7 linked regions of the Callithrix jacchus genome follow. The protein of the gene in region 1 purifies or fractionates together with the protein of each later gene. This does not show direct contact. Links are inferred from orthologs where the notes say so. Each region holds a gene or a part of one and is shown in the gene's direction. Other genes may lie near its edges. The genes, in order: ASF1A, NASP, UBN2, IPO4, CHAF1A, CABIN1 and HAT1.

What was found.
Region 2: the proteins of ASF1A (region 1) and NASP purify together in Homo sapiens (affinity purification with mass spectrometry; 6 studies listed by BioGRID and IntAct, counting the BioPlex papers as one, with this or other methods). This does not show direct contact. The link is inferred for Callithrix jacchus from reciprocal best matches to the Homo sapiens genes ASF1A and NASP.
Region 3: the proteins of ASF1A (region 1) and UBN2 purify together in Homo sapiens (affinity purification with mass spectrometry; 3 studies listed by BioGRID and IntAct, counting the BioPlex papers as one, with this or other methods). This does not show direct contact. The link is inferred for Callithrix jacchus from reciprocal best matches to the Homo sapiens genes ASF1A and UBN2.
Region 4: the proteins of ASF1A (region 1) and IPO4 purify together in Homo sapiens (affinity purification with mass spectrometry; 4 studies listed by BioGRID and IntAct, counting the BioPlex papers as one, with this or other methods). This does not show direct contact. The link is inferred for Callithrix jacchus from reciprocal best matches to the Homo sapiens genes ASF1A and IPO4.
Region 5: the proteins of ASF1A (region 1) and CHAF1A purify together in Homo sapiens (affinity purification with western blotting; 3 studies listed by BioGRID and IntAct, with this or other methods). This does not show direct contact. The link is inferred for Callithrix jacchus from reciprocal best matches to the Homo sapiens genes ASF1A and CHAF1A.
Region 6: the proteins of ASF1A (region 1) and CABIN1 purify together in Homo sapiens (affinity purification with mass spectrometry; 4 studies listed by BioGRID and IntAct, counting the BioPlex papers as one, with this or other methods). This does not show direct contact. The link is inferred for Callithrix jacchus from reciprocal best matches to the Homo sapiens genes ASF1A and CABIN1.
Region 7: the proteins of ASF1A (region 1) and HAT1 purify together in Homo sapiens (affinity purification with mass spectrometry; 4 studies listed by BioGRID and IntAct, counting the BioPlex papers as one, with this or other methods). This does not show direct contact. The link is inferred for Callithrix jacchus from reciprocal best matches to the Homo sapiens genes ASF1A and HAT1.

What each region holds. Positions count from the first base shown.
Region 1 is NC_133505.1:125,225,159-125,229,139, forward strand, and holds the start of ASF1A (histone chaperone ASF1A), read left to right. Parts: upstream 1-1,181; 5' UTR 1,182-1,429; coding exon 1,430-1,538; intron 1,539-3,091; exon of another isoform or gene 3,092-3,387; coding exon of another isoform or gene 3,388-3,419; intron 3,420-3,981. UniProt on the Homo sapiens protein: Histone chaperone that facilitates histone deposition and histone exchange and removal during nucleosome assembly and disassembly.
Region 2 is NC_133508.1:82,362,397-82,365,896, forward strand, and holds part of NASP (nuclear autoantigenic sperm protein), read left to right. Parts: intron 1-41; coding exon 42-121; intron 122-942; coding exon 943-1,028; intron 1,029-1,135; coding exon 1,136-1,209; intron 1,210-1,551; coding exon 1,552-1,740; intron 1,741-1,844; coding exon 1,845-2,011; intron 2,012-3,186; coding exon 3,187-3,243; intron 3,244-3,481; coding exon 3,482-3,500. UniProt on the Homo sapiens protein: Component of the histone chaperone network. Binds and stabilizes histone H3-H4 not bound to chromatin to maintain a soluble reservoir and modulate degradation by chaperone-mediated autophagy.
Region 3 is NC_133512.1:108,052,224-108,055,723, reverse strand, and holds part of UBN2 (ubinuclein-2), read left to right. Parts: intron 1-805; coding exon 806-1,295; intron 1,296-3,500.
Region 4 is NC_133509.1:58,495,158-58,499,339, reverse strand, and holds the start of IPO4 (importin-4), read left to right. Parts: upstream 1-1,382; 5' UTR 1,383-1,411; coding exon 1,412-1,480; intron 1,481-1,559; coding exon 1,560-1,646; intron 1,647-1,712; exon of another isoform or gene 1,713-1,744; coding exon 1,745-1,824; intron 1,825-1,910; coding exon 1,911-1,952; intron 1,953-2,358; coding exon 2,359-2,488; intron 2,489-2,578; coding exon 2,579-2,758; intron 2,759-3,381; coding exon 3,382-3,447; intron 3,448-3,552; coding exon 3,553-3,654; intron 3,655-3,740; coding exon 3,741-3,824; intron 3,825-4,182. Other genes in the region: TM9SF1 (transmembrane 9 superfamily member 1), read left to right, coding at 382-775. UniProt on the Homo sapiens protein: Nuclear transport receptor that mediates nuclear import of proteins, such as histones, RPS3A, TNP2 and VDR. Serves as receptor for nuclear localization signals (NLS) in cargo substrates.
Region 5 is NC_133523.1:4,171,129-4,174,628, forward strand, and holds part of CHAF1A (chromatin assembly factor 1 subunit A), read left to right. Parts: intron 1-2,934; coding exon 2,935-3,164; intron 3,165-3,500. UniProt on the Homo sapiens protein: Acts as a component of the histone chaperone complex chromatin assembly factor 1 (CAF-1), which assembles histone octamers onto DNA during replication and repair.
Region 6 is NC_133502.1:195,264,595-195,268,094, reverse strand, and holds part of CABIN1 (calcineurin-binding protein cabin-1), read left to right. Parts: intron 1-282; coding exon 283-379; intron 380-1,405; coding exon 1,406-2,074; intron 2,075-2,577; coding exon 2,578-2,673; intron 2,674-3,200; coding exon 3,201-3,275; intron 3,276-3,500. UniProt on the Homo sapiens protein: May be required for replication-independent chromatin assembly. May serve as a negative regulator of T-cell receptor (TCR) signaling via inhibition of calcineurin. Inhibition of activated calcineurin is dependent on both PKC and calcium signals.
Region 7 is NC_133507.1:57,533,163-57,535,398, reverse strand, and holds the end of HAT1 (histone acetyltransferase type B catalytic subunit), read left to right. Parts: intron 1-1,242; coding exon 1,243-1,410; 3' UTR 1,411-1,736; downstream 1,737-2,236. UniProt on the Homo sapiens protein: Histone acetyltransferase that plays a role in different biological processes including cell cycle progression, glucose metabolism, histone production or DNA damage repair. Coordinates histone production and acetylation via H4 promoter binding.

The sequences.
Region 1 (3,981 bases):
TTAAGAATTTTTCTCTCTGAATTTGGCCAAGTTTGGTGGTTTCATTCACAACATTTAAGGAAAAAAGTGATGGTTTATGGATAGCAGGTAATAAAACAACCCTTTACATCACTTACTAAATAGAAACGGTTTAGGCTCACAGACATGTTAAAGCTTCCTCTTTCCCTGCAATGGTAGTCAAGCCGCATAAACGAATCAACGTTTCCTCAGTTCAAACCCGAACTGGTTACAGGCAAGCAAGGGCTCCTGAGAATTTGCTTGCTGTGCTACAAATTTTTATTTACTAACGGTTTAGGTCAAGAATTTTTTTTTGAAGATCAAATGTCTTGCTATGCCTTTGTGTTCTTTTCCCATCTGTTATGTTTGTTGCCCTGTTGGTCTCCTGACACTTCCATTTTCTGTTCTCTCCAAATGGCTGTAACCTGGGGTATAACTAATCACATCGCTTGTGATTCTTTTCTTATTCTAGGACTTTCCAGATCTGGACTCGGAAGACGACGCCCAGGTGCAAGCCCAAAGGTTACCTATTTAGATTTTCCAAGCACAGTGTGTGGAAAATCATTCCTCGCCCTTCATTTTGTGTCTGCTTAACGGCGCTGTCGTGCCCAAACGTAGATACTGGCCAAGAGCTAGATTTCCAAAATGGCTTTGCTCCTTTCGAGCCGACATCGGTCTTTAACATGCAATTTATTTCCACTGCAGCTAATCATTCTCTCTACTCCAAATACTACCCGATACACAGAAAGCTGAACCTAACCCAGTGTAAACACGGACTCTCATCTGCTAAATTCAGCAAGGCCGTCAGAGCCTTTGCACCGATGTAAAAAAAAAAAAAAAAGAAAAAAAAGCGTTAAAACAAAAAACCAAAAAACAAAAAACGCCAAAACACCTCACACGAAACCAACTAGAGGGGCGGGCGTCGCCCGGATCGCGCCCTCCCGCCACGGCCACGCCTCCCCGCCGCGGCCACGCCCCTCGCCTCTCTCCGCGACGCCGGCGGCGGCCTCCGCGCGGGCCTCCCAGCCCTTATTCCACTCACTTTGTTCTCCGCCTTTGTCCTAATCCACACCAGCAGGTGGAGCCGCAGTTAAAGTTTCCGAGTCCATTCCGGGAGCGGGAGCCCATCTTGCTGGCTGCCGAGGCACTCGCTGGAGGAGGAGGGTCAGAGCTCGGGTGCAGCCAATCGAGGGCAACGCTGCTACTTATCAGAGCAGAATGGGCTGTAGTTTAGTGAAATAGGAAAGCTGCAAAACACTGTGGAGTGTTCCCGTGTAAATAAAAAGAGGGAAAAAAAAGTTTCTCAAGTCGCCGCTGCACGACGTCGGGCCGGCGCTGGGGCGGGGGTCTGCGCTCTCCCGGGCGGCCGCGCGCTGGACTTTATTGTGCCGCAACCAGCCCCAGTTCCCATTGTTTGTGTTTTTTTCAAAATATGGCAAAGGTTCAGGTGAACAATGTAGTGGTGCTGGATAATCCTTCTCCTTTCTACAACCCGTTCCAGTTCGAGATCACCTTCGAGTGCATCGAGGACCTGTCTGAAGGTGAGTGCGGCGCCCGCGCACCCGGGCTGTCAGTTGCGGGCTGCAGACGTTGAAAGTTTCCCGGGCCCGGCCTCGCGCTGGGCGGCCGTGCTCGGCGCCGGGCGGCCGCGGGCTCCTCTGCGGAGGGAAACTTGAAGTTGATGGACGACGGCAGCCGAGGCGCGCGCGGCGTTCCGCCGCAGCCCAGGCGTCTGCCGGGCTCAACTTGCGAGGAACTTGTTTGAGCCGAGGAGCGGAGGTAGCCATGTTGTCAGCTTTGTCTGCGAGCGGGCAGCTCGGAGACCGGCACTCGCGCCCGCGGCGCCGCCGGGGGTCGCGCGGGGCTGGCTCCACGACCAGCCTCCACGACCCTCCGGGCTTGGGCACGGAGGCTGGGAAGGGAGAGGCTGTGCGTGTAGTAGCGCCGGCGAGTTCGGAGCGGAGCCATCTTACCCCGAGTCGAGAATTGGGCCAGCGACCCCGGCGCACGGCGCCTTCTCTTGCCCCGCCGCCCGCCTGCCCTCCAGCCCCTGGCGAAAGGCAGGTAGTCAACTCTCTAGAGCTCACAGTGGAGTCGCCTCACTCTCCGGGCTGGCCATGCCCGGCCGCTTCAGAGAGGAGAGCGAGGCTGTCCTCGCGCTGATTTCTGGCTCCCTCGACCAACCAGCAGGGGAGGCGGGCACAGGCTCGGCCCCTCCGCGCCGCGGGCTGGGCGCCGGCGTTCCCCGGGGGCCGCGGGTCCTGTTCGGCCGGTCCTCCTCGGCCGGCGCCCGGGATGCGCCGGGATGCTGGCGCGCAGGCTCCCCAACCAACGTGGACTCCTTTCCCCTAATGACGAAAAGCTAATCTCAGGAAGAGAAATAAGAGCTGAGCTAGGAAGTTACATTTAACCTAAGAGCAGAAATTGGATACTTAAATAATTTCAGGACTTAATCTTTGCCTTCTAAATAGTCTTTAAGACTTTCTTCAAGGACGTGTTGAAATCTAAAATAACTCCACATCCAGATACACAACACACCCTGAACATGAAACACAAACGTAGGCTAGAAAATTAAGGTAAAATACTTAGTCCAAGAATTCTTTATATTTTTTTCTACATGTTTCAAGGTCTTAAAAATACGTATTTTAAAATATGTGTAGTAATATTTAGAAAGCTAAAACGACAATTATCCTTGCTTTTATTTTACTAAAGTAATTCAGTGCTTAATTTGCCAGTTTTGAAGGGGAAAAAGTTTAACTTCATCGATGAGGGACATCTTTGAATTAGAAGTATATTTTTAAAATGCATTGAAGATTTGGCTAATCATAGCATGTAAAACTATTTTCATTTTAAAAACTAGTTTTTAATCTCTAAAATGTATATATCTTATGTGAGTTGTTAACTTTATAAAAACAATATATGTTCATTGTAATAAACTTATAGAAAGTTGTACAGGCATATATAAAGTTAACAGTTCTCTGTGTTAAATACCTTCCCCTATCTCACTCCTTTAGGTAATCACAATTATTACTTTAACATGTGTGCCTCTGTTTTTTAAGACCTATGCAGAGCATAAATACACATATAGGGCAAATTTTAAAAGATAATTCATTTATTAAAATAATTTCAAATAGGCCATTGATAACATTAAGGGGTATTTTTCGTATTACTCTGAAGTCATCTGATTATTCTCTTACGATACTACTATTAATATAAGCATTGCAGCTACCAGCACCATTTTTCACACCCAACAGTCAGTAAATTTTTCTTTTTTATTGCCAATTGCATATAAAAACAGACAAAAGAAAAATCATTGGTCAGTCCATTCCAAATTATACCACAGTGTTCTTCAAATATACCACCAGAAGTTCTTCAAATTACAGGTATTTCTCAAGTGATGCCTTCCATTTTAGGAGTCAGCTCTGAACAAAGAAGATAGATGACTCAGGATGTCGTTATAGATGAAACCAGCCATTCATAGAAGCCAAAACATGTTCCATTTTTAAGTGGGATCCATTCAGAACCCAGCTGAATCACATCAGGGTTTTACAGTACTGGTGTCAAGAATATGCTTATTTCCAATGGTATATTTCACTTCCAAGGCACCATTACTGAGTATTTAGTATTTTAAAAAATATTTTAAGCTGAGTCATGCCAAAGCTGCAAAGGAATCTTTCAAAAAGGGGCCATGACTGTGTACTCCACCTAGAGGCTATGTGGATTTAGGAAATGAGTTTACTTAGCAAAGGTTTCTTATAGGTTCCATACTTTTATATTATAGTTTTTTTAAAAAAAAATTCTTAAACTATAGAAAAAATTTTTCTTTTAAATGAGACAGGGTCTCACTGTGTCACTCAGGCTGGGTGGAGTGCAGTGGTGCAAACACAGCTCCCTACAATCTCAATCAGTCCTCCCACCTCAGCCTCCTGAGTAGCTGAGAAGACGGTCAATGTACCACCATATCAGGCTAATTTTTTAGTTTTT
Region 2 (3,500 bases), on another chromosome or scaffold:
TTTTAGTTATATTCTCAATACTGAGGAATTTTTACTTCTAGAAACTGAAGGCTCAGAAGAGGATGATAAAGAAAATGATAAGGCTGAAGAAATGCCAAATGATTCAGTCCTTGAAAACAAGGTACACTGTTAGCTACTCAGTACTGTTGTCTGCTTTTTTCCTTTTTTGGGAGACAAGCGTTCACTTTGTTGCCTAGGCTGGATTACAGTGGGGTGATCGTGATCATGGCTCACTACAGCCTCGACCCTCAGGGCTTAAGTAATCCCTTCACCTCAGCCTCTCAAGTAGCTGGGACTACAGGCTTATGCCAGCATGGCTAGCTAATTTGCAGGACTGTAGCTTACTAGTTTAGGCACAATGATTTTTTTTTTTAAGAGATAGAATCCCTGTTTCTGTTGCCCAGGCTGGCATGAACATGGCTCATTGTATCTTCAGCCTCCTGAGCTCAAGGAATCCTCCCACCTTAGCCTCTCAGACAGCTAGGTATCCAGATGTCTGCTGCCATGCCTGGTTAATTTGTTCTCTAATTTTATTAGATGTTATGCTGCCCAGGCTGGTCTCAAACCTGGCCTCAAGTAATCCTCCTGCCTCAGCTTCCCAAAGTGTTGGGATTATAGGCATGAGCCACCATGCCCAGCCCTAGGGATGATTATTATAATTATCTCTTGGTTATGAATTAGGGACCCTTTATTCGTGCCTAAGATGTAAGGACATATTGATTAGGGGTCATGTGTGTTAATATGTGACCCAACATTTCACTGTTAAATACCACTGACATGGTCATGACTTAGGATAGTATGTGGACCCATTCTCTAGATAATAGGGAGAAAGTTCAAATTTTGAATTGTATGTCAACTATTTTGTTTTTAGCTATGCTAAATTATACATTTAGATTTGTACTGTGAAAACATGCCTATCTTTTTTATTTGGACATACTTTAGTCTCTTCAGGAAAACGAAGAGGAAGAGATTGGGAACCTAGAACTTGCCTGGGATATGCTGGATTTAGCAAAGATCATTTTTAAAAGGTAAAACTCTTAGTGCTTCTAGGCTCAGGTTGGGAGCTTGGTGATTAAATAGAAATCAGTGTTAGACAAGTACTGTTAAGGTTTTTCATCAGCTTTCCTTCTTTTAGGCAAGAAACAAAAGAAGCCCAGCTTTATGCTGCCCAGGCGCATCTTAAACTCGGAGAAGTCAGTGTTGAATCTGGTAATGCATTTTCCATTTTACACTCTCCTACTCTGTTCATCTCTCCTGATCTTCCCATAACAAACTCTCTGGAACCCAACTTGATTGATCATTAAAAAGACAGGTTTAGATTTCCTGTAGAACATGGAATAATGAACAGTCTCTTCCAAGTTGTACTCTGATAGAAAGTCTTTGAGTAGGTTTTTAAAAGTCATTTTGACATTCTTTATAGTCAAGGGGACTGGAAACATACAAAAATGAAATATTAAATAGGGGCATATTCCCATAGGATGGGTCTGAATTCTGGAAGTATTTTATGTTAAATGCTGTCCATTTACTTGCTCTTCTTTGTCTCTTCATTAGAGAACTATGTACAAGCTGTGGAGGAATTCCAGTCCTGCCTAAACCTTCAGGAACAGTACTTGGAAGCCCACGACCGTCTCCTTGCAGAGACCCACTACCAGCTGGGCTTGGCTTATGGGTACAACTCTCAGTATGATGAGGCAGTTGCACAGTTCAGCAAATCTATTGAAGTTATTGAGAAAAGAATGGGTGAGTGAAGACGAGCTGCTTCATGGTGATCGTGGATCCATCAATTAACAAGAAAAAAAGTGGTTCTTTTTTGTGCTGTCACTTATCACTTATTCTTTTTACAGCTGTACTAAATGAGCAGGTGAAGGAGGCTGAACGATCATCTGCTGAATGTAAGAAAGAAATTGAGGAGCTGAAGGAACTGCTACCTGAAATTAGAGAGAAGATAGAAGATGCAAAGGAGTCTCAGCGTAGTGGGAATGTAGCTGAACTAGCTCTGAAAGCTACTCTGGTTGGTTCCATTTCAAGATTTTGATAATAGTATGTTTGTACCATTTATGTTAGTACTCCATTTGCCAGGAACTTTTCATCATGACTTGGTTTCCAGGCAGTTGGTGGGCTCATCTTGTTATTCCTATCAAATAATGTAGTGGTTAAGAGGAAATACTCTGGAGCCCCAGACTATCTGGGTTTTAATTCCATACTTAGTGTGTGTGGCTATGGGCATTTCTCTCCCTCAGTTGACCCATTTGTAAAATGGATAATACAGCTTGAGTATCCTTACCTGAATGCTTGAGACCAGAAGTGTTTTTGCATTTCAGATGCTTTTGGATTTTGGAATACTTGCATCATACTGAACAGTTGGATGTCCTTAACCCAAATTATGAAATGCTCCAGAGAGCATTTCCTTTGAGTGTCAATGCGAGTCCTCAAAAAGTTTGATTGTTGGATTAAGAGATGGAATGCCCAACCTGTAGTACATGTATATAAAATATACTTCTGCCAGTACTGGACAATTAGACATTTCTTAACAAATGTGAGTTGCTGGCCAGGTGCAGTGGCTCAAGCCTGTAATCCCAGCACTTTGGGAGGCCGTGGCGGGTAGATCACGAGGTCAAGAGATCGAGACCATCCTGGTCAACATGGTGAAAGCCCGTCTCTACTAAAAAAAAAAAAAGAAAATTAGCTGGGCATAGTGGCGCATGCCTGTCCCAGCTACTCAGAAGGCTGAGGCAGGAGAATTGCCTGATCCCAGGAGGCGGAGGTTGCGGTGAGCCGAGATTTCGCCACTGCACTCCAGCCTGGGTAACAAGCGAAACACTGTCTCAAAAAAAAAAAAAAGAAAAAAATATGTAAGTTGCTGTTTCCATCTCTGAGAACTCATTTGCATAAATTGGTGACTTATTGAGAGGCATTCACCACAAATTGCCTGGTACTGTTTTTGGCTGTCAGGATGTCACAGAGCTTTTTACCCTGGAGGGAGGATATGGAAGATTTAGTTTATTATGTACCCTCTGACTATGCTTTGGGTGGCTGCTAGACAAGCATAGGTTGGCCAGGGTTAGATGATCTTGACACTACATGGAGGCCACTAGCATTTGAGATCAGTTGTTTGGTTGGTGATTGGTACCTGTGAGTGGCCGGGTTCTAAACTAAAACCAATTGGGTTTGTCATTTCTCATACAGGTGGAGAGCTCTACTTCAGGTTTCACTCCTAGTGGAGGAATCTCTTCAGTCTCTATGGTGGGTATTCAGGTGGTTTTTGGTCACTTATTAAGTCTCAGTGTTGGCACAGTGTGGTGGCGCTTGCCTGTAATCCCAGCACTTTGGGAGGCCAAAGTAGGAGGATTGCTTGAGGCTTGGAATTCAATACTTAGAAACATAGTGAGACTGTCTCTAAAAAACTAAACGTAAGTCATATAAGCCTCAGCATTGATCTTGTATAGCTTGAACAATTACTAATAAAGGCTTATTTTGCCAGATTGCCAGTAGAAAGCCAA
Region 3 (3,500 bases), on another chromosome or scaffold:
TGATGTTGCTGCTAAAAATCAAATAGAATTTCTCAGAAGCCTTACATCAGAATAAAATATTTGTATAGTGCAATCAAAAAATTGTCAATTGCCTCGACTTCTCTGTGGCTTTTTTCACAGAGCTAAGGGAAAGACACTTGTGAAAGGCTGAATTTTGTTTCTGTACTTACCAGTGGAGATACACCTGAATTTTGGGCTATCAGTATCCATAAGGTTGATGTAGAGGGTATTTCTTCCCTCCTAAAACTTGGGATTACAGTCATTAAGAAATTAGGAGACAAAAATGTTTATATTACTAATGATTGTCTTAAATTTTCGTTATTTACAAGTAAACTTCTTTGGGAATGTAGGCTACAAGTAATCCCTTTTATTGAATGTATTGTTTTTCAGCTATATAACTTATTCATTCATTCAGCAAATATTAGTACCCTGCTGTATGGCAGGCACTGATGTAGGGTTTGGGTTGTGTAACAGTGACTGAAACATGGGTCTACCTTCAAGATGCTAATAACCTTTTAGGTTCTGTAGTGCACATTTGGAAGCATTTAAGCCATAGGATTTAGGTAAGATTTCTAGGAGAAAGTAATAGCTAAACTGAGCTCTTTCCTCATTTTTTTCACCATAATGGCCATTTACCTATTTGCCTTTCAAGGGAAGAAGATGCTATTATAATAGTATAAATTAATAAGAAATTAGGAAAACTGCTGTTACCTGTCAAATGATTACTTTAATTCTGCACGTATTTATTTATATGACACTTTAACCTTTAAAATCACACATAGCTGGATCATTTTTTTCTTCACAGAGTTGTGGCTCTAAATTCACACAAGTGTGAAAAAAAGAAGAAACGTTATAAAGATTCTCTTTCTCTAGCTGCCATGATTAGAAAATTCCAGAAGGAGAAGGATGCATTAAAGAAGGAGTCTAGCCCCAAAGTCCCAGTGACCTCGTCAACTTCCTCTCTGAATAAACCCCCTTGTGCCACTGCAGCACTGGGGAATGATGTCCCGGACTTAAATCTGAGCAGCGCTGATCCAGACCTTCCCATTTTTGTTAGCACAAGTGAACATGAGCTGTTTCAGGAAGCCGAAAATGCCCTAGAGATGCTAGATGATTTCGACTTCGACAGATTACTGGATGCTGCTTCTGATGGTAGCCCCCTGTCTGAGTCAGGGGGTGAAAATGGAACCACCACCCAGCCAACCTATACTTCTCAGGTTATGCCCAAAGTGGTACCTACACTCCCAGAGGGTCTACCTGTACTTCTTGAAAAACGTATCGAAGACCTCCGTGTAGTAAGTGTAATAATCCTCTTGCTTTTTATTTGCTGCATAAACATGAAAATTAATGCTTTTGTTTGTTTTTATTTTCCACATATCACTGATATAATTGCTTTGGTTTTATTAAAGATAAAAATAATAACCTACAGTCCCAACATTTTTCTGACTTTTTGTTTTCCATGTTTCCTTTTAGACCTTTTCTTCTTTTCTTTTTTTTGAGAGAAAGTCTTGCTCTGTCTCCCAGGCTGGAGTGCAGTGGTGTGCTTGGCTCACTGCAACCTCTGCCTCCTGGGTTCAAGCGATTCTCCTGCCTCAGCCTCCCAAGTAGCTTGAATTTCAGGTGTGTACCACCTCACCTGGCTAATTTTTTTTAGTAGAAATGGGGTTTTTGGTACACTGGCCAGGCTGATCTAACTCCTGACCTCAGGTGATCTGCCCACCTCAGCCTCCTAAAGTGCTGGGATTACAGGTGTGAGCCACCATGCCCAGCCTAGACCTTTCTTTTTAGTAGAAAATAACTGGCTGGGCATGGTGGCTCATGCGTGTAATCTCAGCACTTGAGGGAGGACAAGGCGGGTGAACCACCTGAGGTCAGGAGTTTGAGAATAGCCTGGTCAATACGGTGAAACTCTGTCTCTACTAAAAATACAAAAAAATTTAGGTGGGCATAGTGGCACACGCCTGTAATCCCAGCTACTGAGGAGGGTGAGGCAGGGGAATCACTTGAACCTGGGAGGCAGAGGTTGCAGTGAGCTGAGATCATGCCACTGCACTGTAGTCTAGGTGACAGAGCGAAACTCTTTCTCAAAAAAATAAATAACATAAAATAAAATAAAAATAAATAAATAGAAATAACTATAGTGATAACATCGATACAGTTGATTCTTTTATTATTAAATGCAGGATTCACCTGACTCCAGAATAAGTGGCATAGGCTTTTTGTTATTCCGTGTGGCCCTATCTCTACAATCTTAGTTTCTTTTAGGTTTTAAAAAGTGCTAGTGATGTAATTCAGGTTTTTCAAGGTGTAATTAATAATAGCTATCGTTTATTTAGCAAGAACCCTGTGTGTTGGTTGCGGTGCAGCTACGTCCTACACGGCCCCATTTACTTCTCAGGAGACGGTAGCCCTGAGTGGGTTTCATATGTTTTACACACTGTGTTGTATAATCTTCTCAACAGTCATGCTTTAGGTAGTGTTTCTCCCGTTTAATTTATGAGGAAAATAAGGTTCAAGAACATTAAGTAACTTAACCCAAGGCCACATAATTTTTAAGTGGCCGAGCCAGGATTCAAGGTCAGGATTTTTTTTGTTTTTTGTTTTTTGGGTTTTTTTTGAGACGGAGTTTTGCTGTTGTTACCCAGGCTGGAGTGCAATGGTGCGATCTCGGCTCACTGCAACCTCCGCCTCCTGGGTTCAAGCAATTCTCCTGCCTCACCCTCCTGAGTAGCTGGGATTACAGGCACGCGCCACCATGCCCAGCTAATTTTTTTGTATTTTTAGTAGAGACGGGGGTTTCACCTCATTGACCAGGATGGTCTCGATCACTTGACCTCGTGATCCACCCGCCTCGGCCTCCAAAAGTGCTGGGATTACAGGCTTGAGGCACCGTGCCCGGCCGATTTGTTTTGTTTTGCAATGGAGTCTCGCTTTGTCACCCAGGCTGGAGTGCAGTGGCATAATCTTGGCTCACCACAACCTCCACCTCCGGATTCAAGCAGTCTCCTGCCTCAGTCTCCCAAGTAGCTGGGATTACAGGTGCTCCCCACAACAGCTAATTTTTGTATTTTTAGTAGAGACAGAGTTTTACCATGTTGGCCAGGCTGCTCTCAAACTCCTGACTTCAGGTGATCCATCCACCTTGGCCTCCCAAAGTGTTGGGATTACAGGTGTGAGCCACTGTGCCCGGCCTCATGCTCACTTAAACAAAATTGGTTAGTGATTGAGTGTGTTTCAATCTTGTAAGACTCTCTTATAGCTCATATCAAATAATGTCTATCTCTATAGTAGTCATGCCAGGATTATACAGCTTCTTCCCAACCCGGTACTGGGAAATTATCAATAAGATTCAGGCTGGGCACAGTGGCTTACATCTGTAATCCCAGCACTTTGGGGAGGCCAAGGCAGGAGGATTGCTTTGAGTCCAGGAGTTTGAGCCCTGCCTGGGCAACATGGTGAGATTCTGTCTCCAAAAAAACCCACTTAATTAGGTATTTAAA
Region 4 (4,182 bases), on another chromosome or scaffold:
GCTCTCTAGAGACATCTCCCTCTTCACCTTCCTGGTTTCCAACCTTAGTGTCTATGGCCATCATGTGAGACTTAAAGCCTATTTGATTACTCATTTACTTTGTTGAATACCTCTTTGTGCCAAGCAGAGAATGAAGTGGAAAGTAAAATGGACAACATCCCTGCCCTTAACCTATCAGGGAAGATACTCTTGAAGTGAGAGCAGTTAATCATAGGCAAAAAATTCCCATGAAGCTAGGAGTTCTGGGGCAGAGAGTGGAGTGAACTCACTTTTCACAATGACCCAGCAACATGGGAGAGGGTGGGGGCTGGATTTTGGCCCAGCCACCGTGCTGACAGTGCACAGCCCTTTAATGCTGTGTATCATCTCTTTTCTTCACAGTGCCATCTCTGTGGAGCTGTACTACATCTTTGCCACAGTATGGGGTCGGGAGCAGTACACTTTGTATGGCATCCTCTTCTTTGTCTTCGCTATCCTGCTGAGTGTGGGGGCTTGCATCTCCATTGCACTCACCTACTTCCAGTTATCTGGGGAGGATTACCGCTGGTGGTGGCGATCTGTGCTAAGTGTTGGCTCCACCGGCCTCTTCATCTTCCTCTACTCAGTTTTCTATTATGCCCGGCGCTCCAACATGTCTGGGGCAGTACAGACAGTAGAGTTCTTTGGCTACTCCTTACTCACTGGTTATGTCTTCTTCCTCATGCTGGGCACCATCTCCTTTTTTTCTTCCCTCAAGTTCATCCGTTATATCTATGTTAACCTCAAAATGGACTGAGTTCTGAATGGCAGAACTACTGCTGTTCTCTCCCTTTCTTCACGCCCCGTTGAGCTGTCCTACCAGCTTCTCTTTTGATTGAGTGACTGAACTGTGTGATGGCATTGTTGCCTTCCCCTTTGCCCTTTGGGTCTTCCTTCCCCAGAGAGGGCCTGGAAATTATAAATCTCTATTATATTAAGGAATATATATTTGAACTTTTTAAGTTGCCTTTAGTTTTGGTCCTGATTTTTCTTTTTACAATTATCAAAATAAAATTTATTAAGAAAAAGGATCATGTAGTTGGAGGTTTTGGTCTGGATATAGAAACGCGAGCCCTGCTGTTAACGGCACGGCCCTTTAGAAAGCGGAGCTGGCCACGGAATAACCGAATTTCGAGTTCTCCAACCCAGCTTGGGAACTCTCAGCGTGGGGAACCTATATTGCCAGAGCACGGTTTCCGCGACTCAGCCGGTGCTCAGCCTAACGGAAGTGGAGGAGCCGGACGTCTTTGTGGGAAGTGAATTGAATCACCTTGGCGACCCGCGGGGCGTGCGGCAACGCCCTTTCCGCCGGAAGTGGCTGTCAGCCTCCACGTGCTGTCCCTCCCCCTCCCCCTCCCCCTTTCAGCCCAATAGCGGCGGCTCAGCTGCTGCCATGGAGCCCGCCAGTCTGGAGCAGCTCTTACGGGAACTGCTGCTGCCGGACACCGAGCGCATCCTTCGGGTATGGAGCGGGCGTAACCGACCAGGGCGAGCGGGAGGTTGCGGGAAAGGCCCGACTCTCACTCCTAGCTTTCCCCTAGGCCACGGAACAGCTCCACATCGCTCTGCGGGCCCCCGCCGCCTTGCCGGCTCTCTGCGACCTGCTCACCTCGGCAGCCGACCCCCAGGTGAGACCCCTGCACTGGCCAAGCCCCAGTAAACGCCCCGTGCGGTCCCCTCAGCACCTTCCTTACCGGACCCCCACATGCCTACTTCCTCGTCCCAGATCCGCCAGTTTGCGGCCGTGCTGACCCGCAGACGATTGAACACCCGCTGGCGACGGCTGGCGGCGGAGCAACGGGAGAGGTGGGCTGGGCCTGGGGCGGGGCGGGGCCAGGTGGAAGCTTTTCTTGGGCAGGCCGGGTACCAAACACCTGCCATCTGTGTTCTAGCCTCAAGTCCCTGATCTTGACGGCCCTGCAGAGAGAAACAGAGTGAGTATCTACTCCCTTCTCTCGGGATCTTGACGACCTTCTTTGGGTTTCTGCCTTCCCCTTCAGCTGCAGGCTGGGACTTGGGGGGCAAGGACTTCCGTTCTAGACCAAAGTGAAGATTTTAAGGCTGTTTCGAAGACTGAAGTTCTTGAGAAAGGGTGATGATGATCTGGCAAACCAAAGTCAGAAGAATGAGACTGAAATTCAGGCTAAGTAAGACTGAGCTTACCAGATTACATGCCCGCAGTGCAGCTGGGCTCCCTCTGAGCTTCTATCTCATGTGTCCCAACTTGGCAAAGACCCTGTGCCCACCACTCCTGAAAGTTTCCCTCCTGGCTGCCCCAATGAGTCTGGCCACTCAAGAGGAAGGCATTGGAGGGTGACTGGAGATCTCTCCTGTTTGCAGGCACTGTGTGATCCTCAGCTTGGCCCAGCTTTCAGGCACCATTTTTCGAAAGGAAGGCCTGGAGGCCTGGCCTCAGCTTTTGCAGCTTCTTCAGCACAGTACCCACAGCCCCCACAGCCCAGAGAGAGAGGTACCATTACATAGTTGGCAGGAGGAGGGAGGGCCCAAGAGGCCGGATAGACCATGTAAGCTCGCCCTCCCATCCTCTACTCTTGGACAGATGGGGCTTTTGCTGCTGAGTGTGGTGGTGACCTCCTGGCCCGAGGCCTTCCAACCCCACCATAGGGAGCTTCTTCAGCTTCTGAATGAGACTCTTGGTGAGGTGGGCTCTCCTGGGCTGCTCTTCTACTCCCTGCGTACTCTGACCACCATGGCCCCCTACCTCAGCACTGAAGATGTGGTGAGATGTGGGCCCACTCATATCACTGACTGCCTTTCCTCAGGCCTTCATGTCCTCACCCTTAAAAGTTACAAAGCTGTGCCAGACATGGTGGCTCATGCCTGTAATCTCAGCACTTTCAGAGGCAAAGGCACGCAGATCACAAGGTCAAGAGATCGAGACCATCCTGGACAACATGGTGAAACCCTGTCTCTACTAAAAGTACAATAAATTAGCCAGGTGTGGTGGTGTGTGCCTATAGTCCCAGCTGCTCGGTAGGCTGAGGCAGGAGAATCACTTGAACCAGGGAGGCAGAGGTTATGTGAGCTGAGATCGCACCTCTGCACTCTAGCTTGGCAACAGAACGAGACTCTGTTTCAAAACACACAAACACACACCCTACAAAACTGCTTTGGATTCTTTACCTGCCTTTGGCCCCTACACACACACACACACACACACACACCCAAAGCTGCTTTGGATTCTTTACCTGCCTTTGGCCCTTCCTGACAATTGAGAGGGGATGCTGTAGGTGGGCCTGGCTTGTTCCTGGGCTCCTCCTCACAATTCAGGCTGTGAGGAAGCTGCCAGCTGTTGGGTTGTAAGATTAGGCTGCATCATGCTCTCTGTGATGTGTCTTTTAGCCTCTCGCTCAGATGTTGGTGCCTAAGCTGATTGTGGCAGTGCAGACCCTGATCCCCATAGACGAGGTGAGGACAGGTGGGCAGGAGCTCTGTTGGAAGGAGAGTGCAGAAGTGTCAGCTGGGCCCACTGAAGAAGAGCATGGTCACCCTGTGCCTTGTTTTGTCTGTCAGGCAAAGGCCTGTGAGGCCCTTGAGGCTTTGGATGAACTGTTGGAGTCAGAGGTACCCATCATCACTCCCCACCTCTCTAAGGTCCTCACATTCTGCCTGGAGGTGAGCCTGGAATGGACATGGCACCGGCTACATGCCCTGCTGGGACTTTGCTTGCCTGGCTCTGATTCTTATTATTCTCTGGACAGGTGGCTAGAAATGTGGCCCTGGGCAATGCGATACGTGTACGTATCCTTTGCTCCCTCACTTTCTTGGTCAAAGTCAAAAGCAAGGTGAGTTACCATTGACACATCACCAACTGTCCATCTCCACCCTTAATCTCACTTTTGGGGCTTTCTGTCCATCTCAGGGTATCTAAAGTACTATGGGGGTTCAAGCCTTGCCCTGGCCTCACCCCAACTCCTGCCTCGGATATTGGGAATCTTCTGTCAGACCCCTATGGCCTGGAAGACTGTTTTTTTTTGAGATAAGAGTTTTGCTCTTGTTGCCCAGGCTGGAGTGCAATGGTGCAATCTCAGCTCACCACAACCCCTGCCTCCTGGGTTCAAGTGATTCTCCTGCCTCAGCCTCCCAGTAGCTGGGATTACAGGCATGTGCCACCATGCCTAGCTAATTTTGTGTTTTTAGTAG
Region 5 (3,500 bases), on another chromosome or scaffold:
TGATTCACTTGAAGTTTCTAGAAGCCTTCTATTTCTTGCTTAGGAATAGGACGGGAGACTGCTCCACCCACAGGTATGTTAACAGTGTCCTTGTTCAGTACAGACAGTCACCTTTGTCATCTGTGTTGTATGTCAGATGCAGTCACACAGGACACTGGCAAGAAATGAAAATTGACATCTTTCAGACTGTGTCTCTCTGGCTTTTGTTAAGGCTACCAGAGATGTACTGGGACACATTTAGAGCATTTCCTTAGAGACAAAGGCAGATACTCTTAACCCAAACTGAAAGCTGAGCTGTCAGGCTCCAGACATGTGGGAATCCCGTATTGGAGAGAGATGGTCCTCATTCTGTGCTGGGAGTGGGCACCTGTGGAGCCGGGCAGGTGATCATTTTGTGTTTTTTTTTTTTTTTGAGATGGAGTCTTCCCTCCGTTGCCCAGGCTGGAGTGCAGTGGCAAGATCTCGGCTCACTGCAACCTCCGCCTACCAGGTTCAAGCGATTCTTCTGCCTCAGCCTCCCCAGTAGCTGGGATTACAGGCACACGCCACCACTCCTGACTAATTTTTGTATTTTTAGTAGAGACAGGGTTTCACCATGTTGGCCAAGTTGGTCTCAAACTCTTGACCTCAAGTGATCCGCCTGCCTGGATCTCCCAGAGTGCCAGGATTACAGGCGTCAGCCACCACGCCCAGCTGACCGTGTTTAACATTAAACTTCAGGTGACATAATGACTGAGTGTCCAGGGCACTACCAAGTCTTTGGAATGAGGAACTTAGCAATGAAGTGTTACTCTCTTAAAGAATTTGAGGCCAGGTGTGGTGGCTCATGTCTGTAATCCCAGCACTTTGGGAGGCCAAGGTGGGCAGATCAAGAAGAGGTCAGGAGTTCAAGACCAGCCTGACCAATGTGGGAAAACCCTGTCTCTACTAAAAATACGAAAATTAGCTGGGCGCGGTGGCATGCGCCTATAGTCCCAGCCACTCAGGAGGCTGAGGCAGGAGAATCGCTTGAACCAGGGAGTTCGAGGTTGCAGTGAGCAAGGTGGCGCCATTGCACTCCAGCCTGGTGACAGAGCGAGACTCTGTCTCAAAAAAGAAAAGAGAGAAAAAAACCTGGGCTGGTTGTGATGGCTCATGCCTATAATCCTAGCATTTTGGGAGGCTGAGTTGGGCAGGTTACTTGAGCACAGAAGTTCAAGATCAGCCTTGGCAACATGGTGAGACTCTGTCTTTACAAGAATTAGCCAGGTGCGGTGATAGGTACCTGTAGTCCCAGCTACTCAGGCGGCTGAGGCAAGAAGATGGCTTTTTTTTTTTTTTGAGATGGAGTCTTGCTCTGTTTCCCAGTCTGGGGTATGGTGGCACATCTGGGCTCACTGCAACCTCTGCTTCCTGAGTTCAAGCAATTCTCCTGCCGCAGCCTCCCGAGCAGCTGGGACTACAGGTGCACACCACCATGTTCAGCTAATTTTTTTGTACTTTTAGTAGTCTCGGGGTTTTACCATATTGGCCAGTCAGTCTTGAGCTCCTGACCTTGTGATTGACCCGCCTCAGCCTCCCAGGGTGCTGGGATTACAGGCGTGAGCCACTACGCCCAGTCAGAAGATTGCTGTGAGCCCAGGACGGAGGTTTCATTGAGCCAAGATAGTGTTGCCGCTCTCCAGGCTGGGCACTAGAATGAGACCCCATCTTCAAATTAGTAAATGCTTTGGGGTTTTTTTGTTTGTTTTTTAGGCAGAGTCTCGCTCTGTTGCCCAGGCTGGAGTGCCATGGCATGATCTTGAACTGCCTTCTGTGTTCCAGTGATTCTTGTGCCTCAGCCTCCTGAGTAGCTGGAACTATAGGTGTGCATCGCCACATCTGGCTAAATTTTTTGTATTTTTAGTAGAGATGGTGTTTTACCTTGTTGGCCAGGCTGTTCTTGAACTCCTGGCCTCAAGCAATCTGTCTTCCTCAGCCCCCCAAAGTGCTGGGATTATAGGAGTGAGCTCCATTGCGCCGGCCCGATTGTGTTTTAAATGAATCTTATATTGAATTGCCCACATGTATCGGACACAGGGCTAATTATTATCATTTTTCTCATGATGGAGGGAAGCATAATGGACGATGAAAATCACTTCTGTGGCTGGGTGCTATGGCTCATGCCTATAATCCCAACACTTTGGGGGCTGAGGCAGAGAGATTGTTTGAGCCCAGGTGTTCAAGACCGGTCTGAGCAACACAGCAAAACTCCATCTCTAGGAAAAGTATAAAAATGCCTGGGTATAGTGGCATGTGCATGTATTCCCTGCTACTCAGGAGGCTGAGGCAGGAGGACTGCTTGAGCCTGGGAGGTCGAGGCTGCAGCGAGCTGTGACTACACCACTGTACTCCAGCCTGGGCAACAGAGTGGACTTCAACTAAAAAAAAAATAAACTTACTTCTGTGTAAGGTTGTTGATTGGAGGCTCTTCCTGCAGCTGATCTCTGAATTCTTTTTTTTTTTTTAACTGAGTCTCACTTGGTTGCCCAGGCTGGAGTGCAATGATATGATCTTAACTCACTGCACCCTAGGTCTCCTGGGTCCAAGTGATTCTCCTGCCTCAACCTCCTAAGTAGCTGGGAGTACAGGCAGCTACCCTCTACCACGCCTGGCTAATTTTCGGAATTTTATTAGAGACTGGGTGTCACCATGTTGACCAGGCTGGTCTCGAACTCCTGACCTCAGGTGATCTACCCACCTTGACCTCCCGAAGTGCTGGAATTACAGGCATGTGCCACTGCGCCTGGCCTTGGTCCCCAAATTCTGTCCCTCTCATCTAGGCCCAGCTCTTCCCCCATGCTCTGATCAGAGCTTCCTCCTGGGATCAAGAGAGAGGGCCACTTGACACTGTCTTGAGCTCCCTCCTGGGGACTGGCAAGAAGGCCACCTGTCACCTGCCACACTGTCTTACAGGATCAGGAGCGCCTGGGCAAACAGCTCAAGTTACGTGCAGAAAGAGAAGAAAAGGAGAAGCTGAAAGAGGAGGCCAAGCGGGCCAAGGAAGAGGCCAAGAAGAAGAAGGAGGAAGAGAAGGAGCTGAAGGAAAAGGAGAGGCGGGAGAAACGGGAGAAGGATGAGAAGGAGAAGGCAGAGAAGCAGCGGCTTAAGGAAGAGCGGCGCAAGGAGAGGCAGGAAGCCCTGGAGTGAGTGCCCTCAGCCGTCCGTGCTGGGCCTACCTCCCCGCTGCTGGATTCCACTTCTGGCCGCTCTGATGGGCCTTTGGTGTTTCGCAGGCAGACTGGGGCTGCCATCAGTTCCTTTCTGTTTCTCCTGTGTGAGCTGCACGTGCGTCCCCGACGTGGGAGCAGTGGAAAGCAGCTCCCTGCTCTTTTGTGCTCCCCCATGTCCACTCACCCTGGGCCCCTTGTCTCTGCCTGTGACTGTCCTTCCAGTTCCCAACCAACTGAGGCATTTGCATCGCAGGAATATGGGTTTTGTTTGTGGTAATTTTGCATCGGCTGGCTAAAGTCTTTTATATA
Region 6 (3,500 bases), on another chromosome or scaffold:
AGGCCTTCCCCAGCTGTCACTGAGTGCAGCACACAGGGTGGACCCACTACAGAGGGCCCAAGGGCAGCAGGCTGGTGCCAGGTCAGAAGCCTACTGGCTCTGTGGGTAGAGGGAGCTTGGAGGACTTCTAGGGGAGCAGTACCAACAGGTGGGCTGTTGGGACACTGAGGAACCAACCTCAAGGCATCCCCAAGGCAGGCATGGGCAGCAGCCACCATCCAGCAGTGCTGTGTGGTGTGGGATGCTCTCCCGTCCTCTCTGACTACCCCTATATGACTATAGGAAGTATCTACGAGATGCTGACCGCCAGGTCCTGGCACAGCGGGCCTTCATCCTCACAGTGAAGGTGCTGGAGGACACACTGAGCGAGCTTGCAGAGGTATGCCACCTGCATCCACCTCTCCTCCACAGCCCCGTGAATACGCTCCCAAGCTCTTCCCAGGTGGTGGGCCCAATCCCACCGTTTGCATACACCTAAGCAGGATGTGTCTAAGGATCCCCATCCATGAGGTAGCACCCATCCTGCCTCTTCCTAGGCAGGGAAGGTTAGCCGTGGTCATGAATGCATGTGAATTCAGTGAGGCATGGATGCACTTGGTGATTAGTAAGAGACATAGTGGCTCCACAAAACTGAGCTCCCCAAGGGCATGCACCACCCAGGGCAGGGTCCCAAGCCCTCTCCCTAGCAGGTTGACAAGGCCTGCGAGAACACTGTGTGTGTGCATCGTCCCTTTTCAGCCTCGAGGCAGGTGCAGCGGTGCCTCCTCCTCACAGCTGAGCACCTGGAGGAGGCCAGGGAGGTTAAGTAGCCAGCCTAGCCAGTGGGGCTGTTGAGAGTTGAGCCAGGACTGCCTCCAGAGCTTATGCCTGGTAGGGTTGGCTGTGACTCGGTGCAGAGGATCAGGTTGGCATCCTGAGCCTGTTGGGGAGGAGTCCTTGCCAGCCACCTGCCAACCGCAGGGCCTCATGCATTAGGGGCCAGGAAGACTTGGCTCTGCAGCAAACATGCTTGGTGGCTCTGGACAGGTCCCCTCCCATAAAATGCCCAGAGCTGCCCAGAGTTCACATCATGGAGTCGAAGAAGAGCTGGACAGTACTGCCCCAACTCAGCCCAGGCCTGTTATTCAGGAGCAGCACCACCTCCAGAGTCCCATCAGCCCCTTGCTACCTGGGAATGTGGTGGGGCAGCTAGAGGTACAGAGAAGGGTTGGTTCTTCTTATGCAGGTCTCTGGGCCCATTGTTCTTCTCTGATAACTGGGACATAGCCCTGGCCAGCTGGCAGATATCCAGAGCCAGACAGATGTCAGGTGGGAGAGGCCCAGGATGGGCACACCAGTGCCCAGAGGTGATTCATTACAGTGGAGATACCAACGACACAGCATCTTGCCTTTGGTTTCTTTGTAGGGGTCAGAACGCCCAGGGCCCAAGGTCTGCAGCCTCCCTGGAGCCAGGATGACCACCGATGTCTCACACAAGGCCACTCCTGAGGATGGCCAGGAGGGCCTCCCCCAGCCAAAGAAGCCCCCTCTGACTGATGGTTCAGGGCCAGGCCCCGAGCCAGGGGGCAAAGTGGGCCTTCTCAACCACCGGCCTGTGGCCATGGATGCAGGAGACAGTGCAGACCAAAGCGGGGAGCGGAAGGACAAGGAGAGCCCCCGGGCAGGGCTCACTGAGCCCATGGATACAGGCGAGGCCACTATTTGCCACTCAGACTTGGAGCGGACAACACCCTTGCTGCCAGGTCGCCCCCCGAGGGACCGAGGCCCTGAGAGCCGGCCCACTGAGCTGTCCCTGGAGGAGCTGAGCATCAGTGCTCGGCAACAGCCCACCCTGCTCACCCTAGCCCAGCCAGCCCCTGCCCCTGCCACCACCATGGGGACCAGGGGGGGCGGCCACCCTGAGGAGCCGCTCCCCCGGCTCAGCCGCAAGAGGAAGCTCCTGGAGGACACAGAATCTGGCAAGACACTTCTGCTGGACGCCTACCGTGTGTGGCAGCAGGGCCAGAAGGGCGTGGCCTATGACCTGGGCCGTGTGGAGAGGATCATGTCGGAGACCTACATGCTCATCAAGCAGGTGGGCGGTGGGCAGAGGCCTGAGGGCACTTGTCTGCTGGCAGCACCCCCACTCTTGCCTTTCTGTTCTCAAGGAGGGTCGTCCCAGGCCGCCCTTGGGGTGGATTTAGGTGTCATTCCCATCCCATCCCCACTGTTCACTTTCTGCAATGAGCTTTAACAAGTTGATATTCATCCTGGAAGGAAGTGAGAGCCCATCACAGAAACTTCATCACACCAGCACAGGGAGTCTGGACCACTGCTCCCACTGCTGCACTGGGCCTCTGGGCACATCTTAGGGCATTTCTGTCAAGACTTCTGTGGCTCTCATTTAAAGATGACTGCAGCGCCCTAAGTGTGACCAGAAATGCCTTTCTTATTAAAAAAAAAAAATGTATTTTAATATGTCAGGCACTTTCCTTTTTCTCCATTTAAAATTATTCCCATAGGAAGAATCTCCAAAACTTTAGTGACTGGCTTAAATGGGATGACCATCCCTGACAGTTTTTCCCCTAATCATGTCAGTTTGCAGTGCACCCCCTACACCTGCCCCATATCATGTGGACCTTGGGCACTGAATCTCTGGACGCACTCAACACAGCATGGGGCTCTCACCGTCAGGTCTGGAATTCCAAAAGGCCTCTCCCACTCTGATCACAGCCCTCCACCCTGCCCACTTAAGGGGCACATTCTAGCTTAGGAGACTCCCTTCATCCCCTAACCACTGGGCCTCAGCCAAATTTGAAGGCTTGGTTGGGGCCCTGAGTCTGCCTGTCAGCTTCATCTTGTGAGGATGTAAGTAACTCAGCCATAGAAATGAACTTGGTATGGCCAGATGGGCTTAGAGGAATAGCTGGGTTCAGTCCTGGCACCAGTGCCTGGTGCTGTGGGACCTGTGCAGGCACCCCCACCTGAAAGTTGGACAGGCACCTGCCCCTGCTGCCTATGAAGAGCTGGGAGGTGGGATCTGGGTGTGGACGGCAGTGGGGACAGCTGGCGATTCAGCAGAGTCTGGGGTGGTGGTGGGTATCTGAGCCACAGGGCATGCCCCCTGCCCAGGCTGGCCTGTGCTACCTATGCAGACAGGGCTTGAGGGAGGCCAGCCACAATGGCCTGGGTCCCCTGATCTCGGGCATCTCCCTGTTAAGGTGGATGAGGAGGCTGCGCTGGAGCAGGCTGTGAAGTTCTGCCAAGTCCACCTCGGGGCTGCCGCCCAGAGACAGGTAAGCCCAACTTAGCCTGTGCCAGTCTTATCTTGTGGAGCCTGCCCCACAACAAGGCCCCACGATGCAGACTGAGAAGCAGGTTCACTCTTGGGACTGTTCTTGTGGTCAGCTTGGGCTGAGGGGAAATGAGCAGGGGGTAGCTGAGCCTCCAGCCAATGGCCATGGTGGGCAGTGCCTTGGACGGGCCCCAGACTCCAGGTCAGACATGCTGAGGAGTTCCCT
Region 7 (2,236 bases), on another chromosome or scaffold:
TTATTCTCTAATAGAAGAATTGATACGATAATTTAGAACAGTATATCCAAAACATGAAAGCTTTATATTTGCAATAATGCCATCCAACCAGGAATCTTGGAGTTACTGTTCATTCTTCCTTCCCCGTATCACCCAGTATTTTCTCCCCTAAATCTGCCCTGTCCCCTCCGTCTCTGCTGCTGCTGACTTGATCTAGGCTTTCATCAACTCTGGTTTGAACTACTGCAGTAGCTGCCCAGTTGTCCAGTCCCATCCTAAACATCTCTGACATAGTATTGTTTTGACAGTGTCCTGCATAAAAGTTCTTACCAGCTACCTGTTCCAAACTCAGCATAGTGGTATCCTAAGTAAAACAGGGAGGGTTTAGTATGATAATGTGTGTCTGGAACTTCATAGAGACTCAAATGCTAGTGTGTGTGTGTGTGTGTGTGTGTGTGTGTGTGTAATATACAGTTTTTTTGAAACAGTCTTGCTCTGTCACCAGGCTAGAGTGCAGTGGCACGATTCTGCTCACTGCAACCTCTGCCTCCCAGGTTCAAGTGATTCTCTTGCCTCAGCCTCCTGAGTAGCTGGGATTACAAGCATGCGCCGCCGCCACGCCCAGCTAATTCTTTTTAAATTTGTAGTAGAGACCGTGTTTCACCATGTTGGCCGGGATGGTCTTAATCTCCTGACCTTGTGATCTACCTGTCTTGGCCTCCCAAAGTGCTGGGATTACAGGTGTGAACCACCATGCCCGACCTAGTTAATGTGTTTTTAAGTGTCACAGTTTCCCATTTATCTTTCTGAAACATTTCTAACAGTTTATGTTAAAATTAGCATGTGGCACATAAATACTTCATGGGTGGAATTTAAAATGTAATTAATGATTGAATAGTAAAATGAAGCATAATAGCACTTAATCTCAGTGGTCTTTCTTCACCTCATGTCTTTTATTTATTAAAGAAATATTTGAGTTTCCACACTGGCCAGAGTTCTCTAAAGTTTTGGAGGGGGCTCCTAGTCACATGTCTGTATTTATCATCAATTGGACACAAATACCAGGTCTTCCTGTTAACTGTTTTTAGAGAGTTTGCAATTCATGGTTAACATTATGTTTAAGCTTCCTTTAAAAAAAAAGTGTGGGACAAGTTTTGGCATATTTGTACTATTCTTATTTTTAACATTGGACACTTAAAGTTGTAAGACTACGAGGAAATATATTTGCTTTCTTAGTCTAACAAATAATTGTTTGTCACCTAGAAAAAGCAAAGAGATCTTGCTAAGATGAGAAAATGTCTCAGACCAGAAGAACTGACAAATCAGATGAACCAAATAGAAATAAGCATGCAACATGAACAGCTGGAAGAGAGTTTTCAGGAACTAGTAGAAGATTACCGGCGTGTTATTGAACGACTTGCTCAAGAGTAAAGATTATACTGTGGTGTACAGGAAGCTTGCAAATTTTCTGTACAATGTGCTGTGAAAAATCTGATGACTTTTAATTTTAAAATCTTGTGACATTTTGCTTATACTAAAAGTTATCTATCTTTAGTTGAATATTTTCTTTTGGAGAGATTGTATATTTTAAAATACTGTTTAGAGTTTATGAGCATATATTGCATTTGAAAAAGATAAAGCTTCTGAAATACTACTGCAGTTGCTTCCCTTCTTAAACAGTATAATAAATGCTTAGTTGTGATATGTTAATGTGTGATATGATTCTTAAATATTTACAATAAACCTTATTCTTATCATTCCTTCTACAGTTTGCTTCTAAGATTTTACATCCGACACCTTTAAAACATTTCTTTAAGGTTTATCCTGGTAATTTTACTTTTTCAATATGATTCTTCTTTCTTTTTTAAGTTCAGGGGTACATGTGGAGGTTCGTTACATAGGTAAACTTGTGTCCTGGGGGTTTCTTGCACAGATTATTTCAACATCCAGATACGAAGCCTGTACCAGTAGTTCATTCTTCTGCCCTTCTCCCTCCTCTCAGCCTGTCTTCGAGTAGACCCCAGTGTCTTGTTCCCTTCTTTTTGTCCATGTGTTCTTACCATTTAGCTCCCACTTGTGAGAACCTGCAGTATTTGGTTTTCTGTGCCTGTGTTAGTTTAATGGCTTCCAGCGCCATCTGTGTCCCCGCAAAAAACATGATCTTGTTCTTTTTTTATGACTGCATAGTATTCTGTGGTGTGTATGTACCACATTTTCTTTATCCAGTCTGTCACTGATGGACATTTAGGTTGCTTCC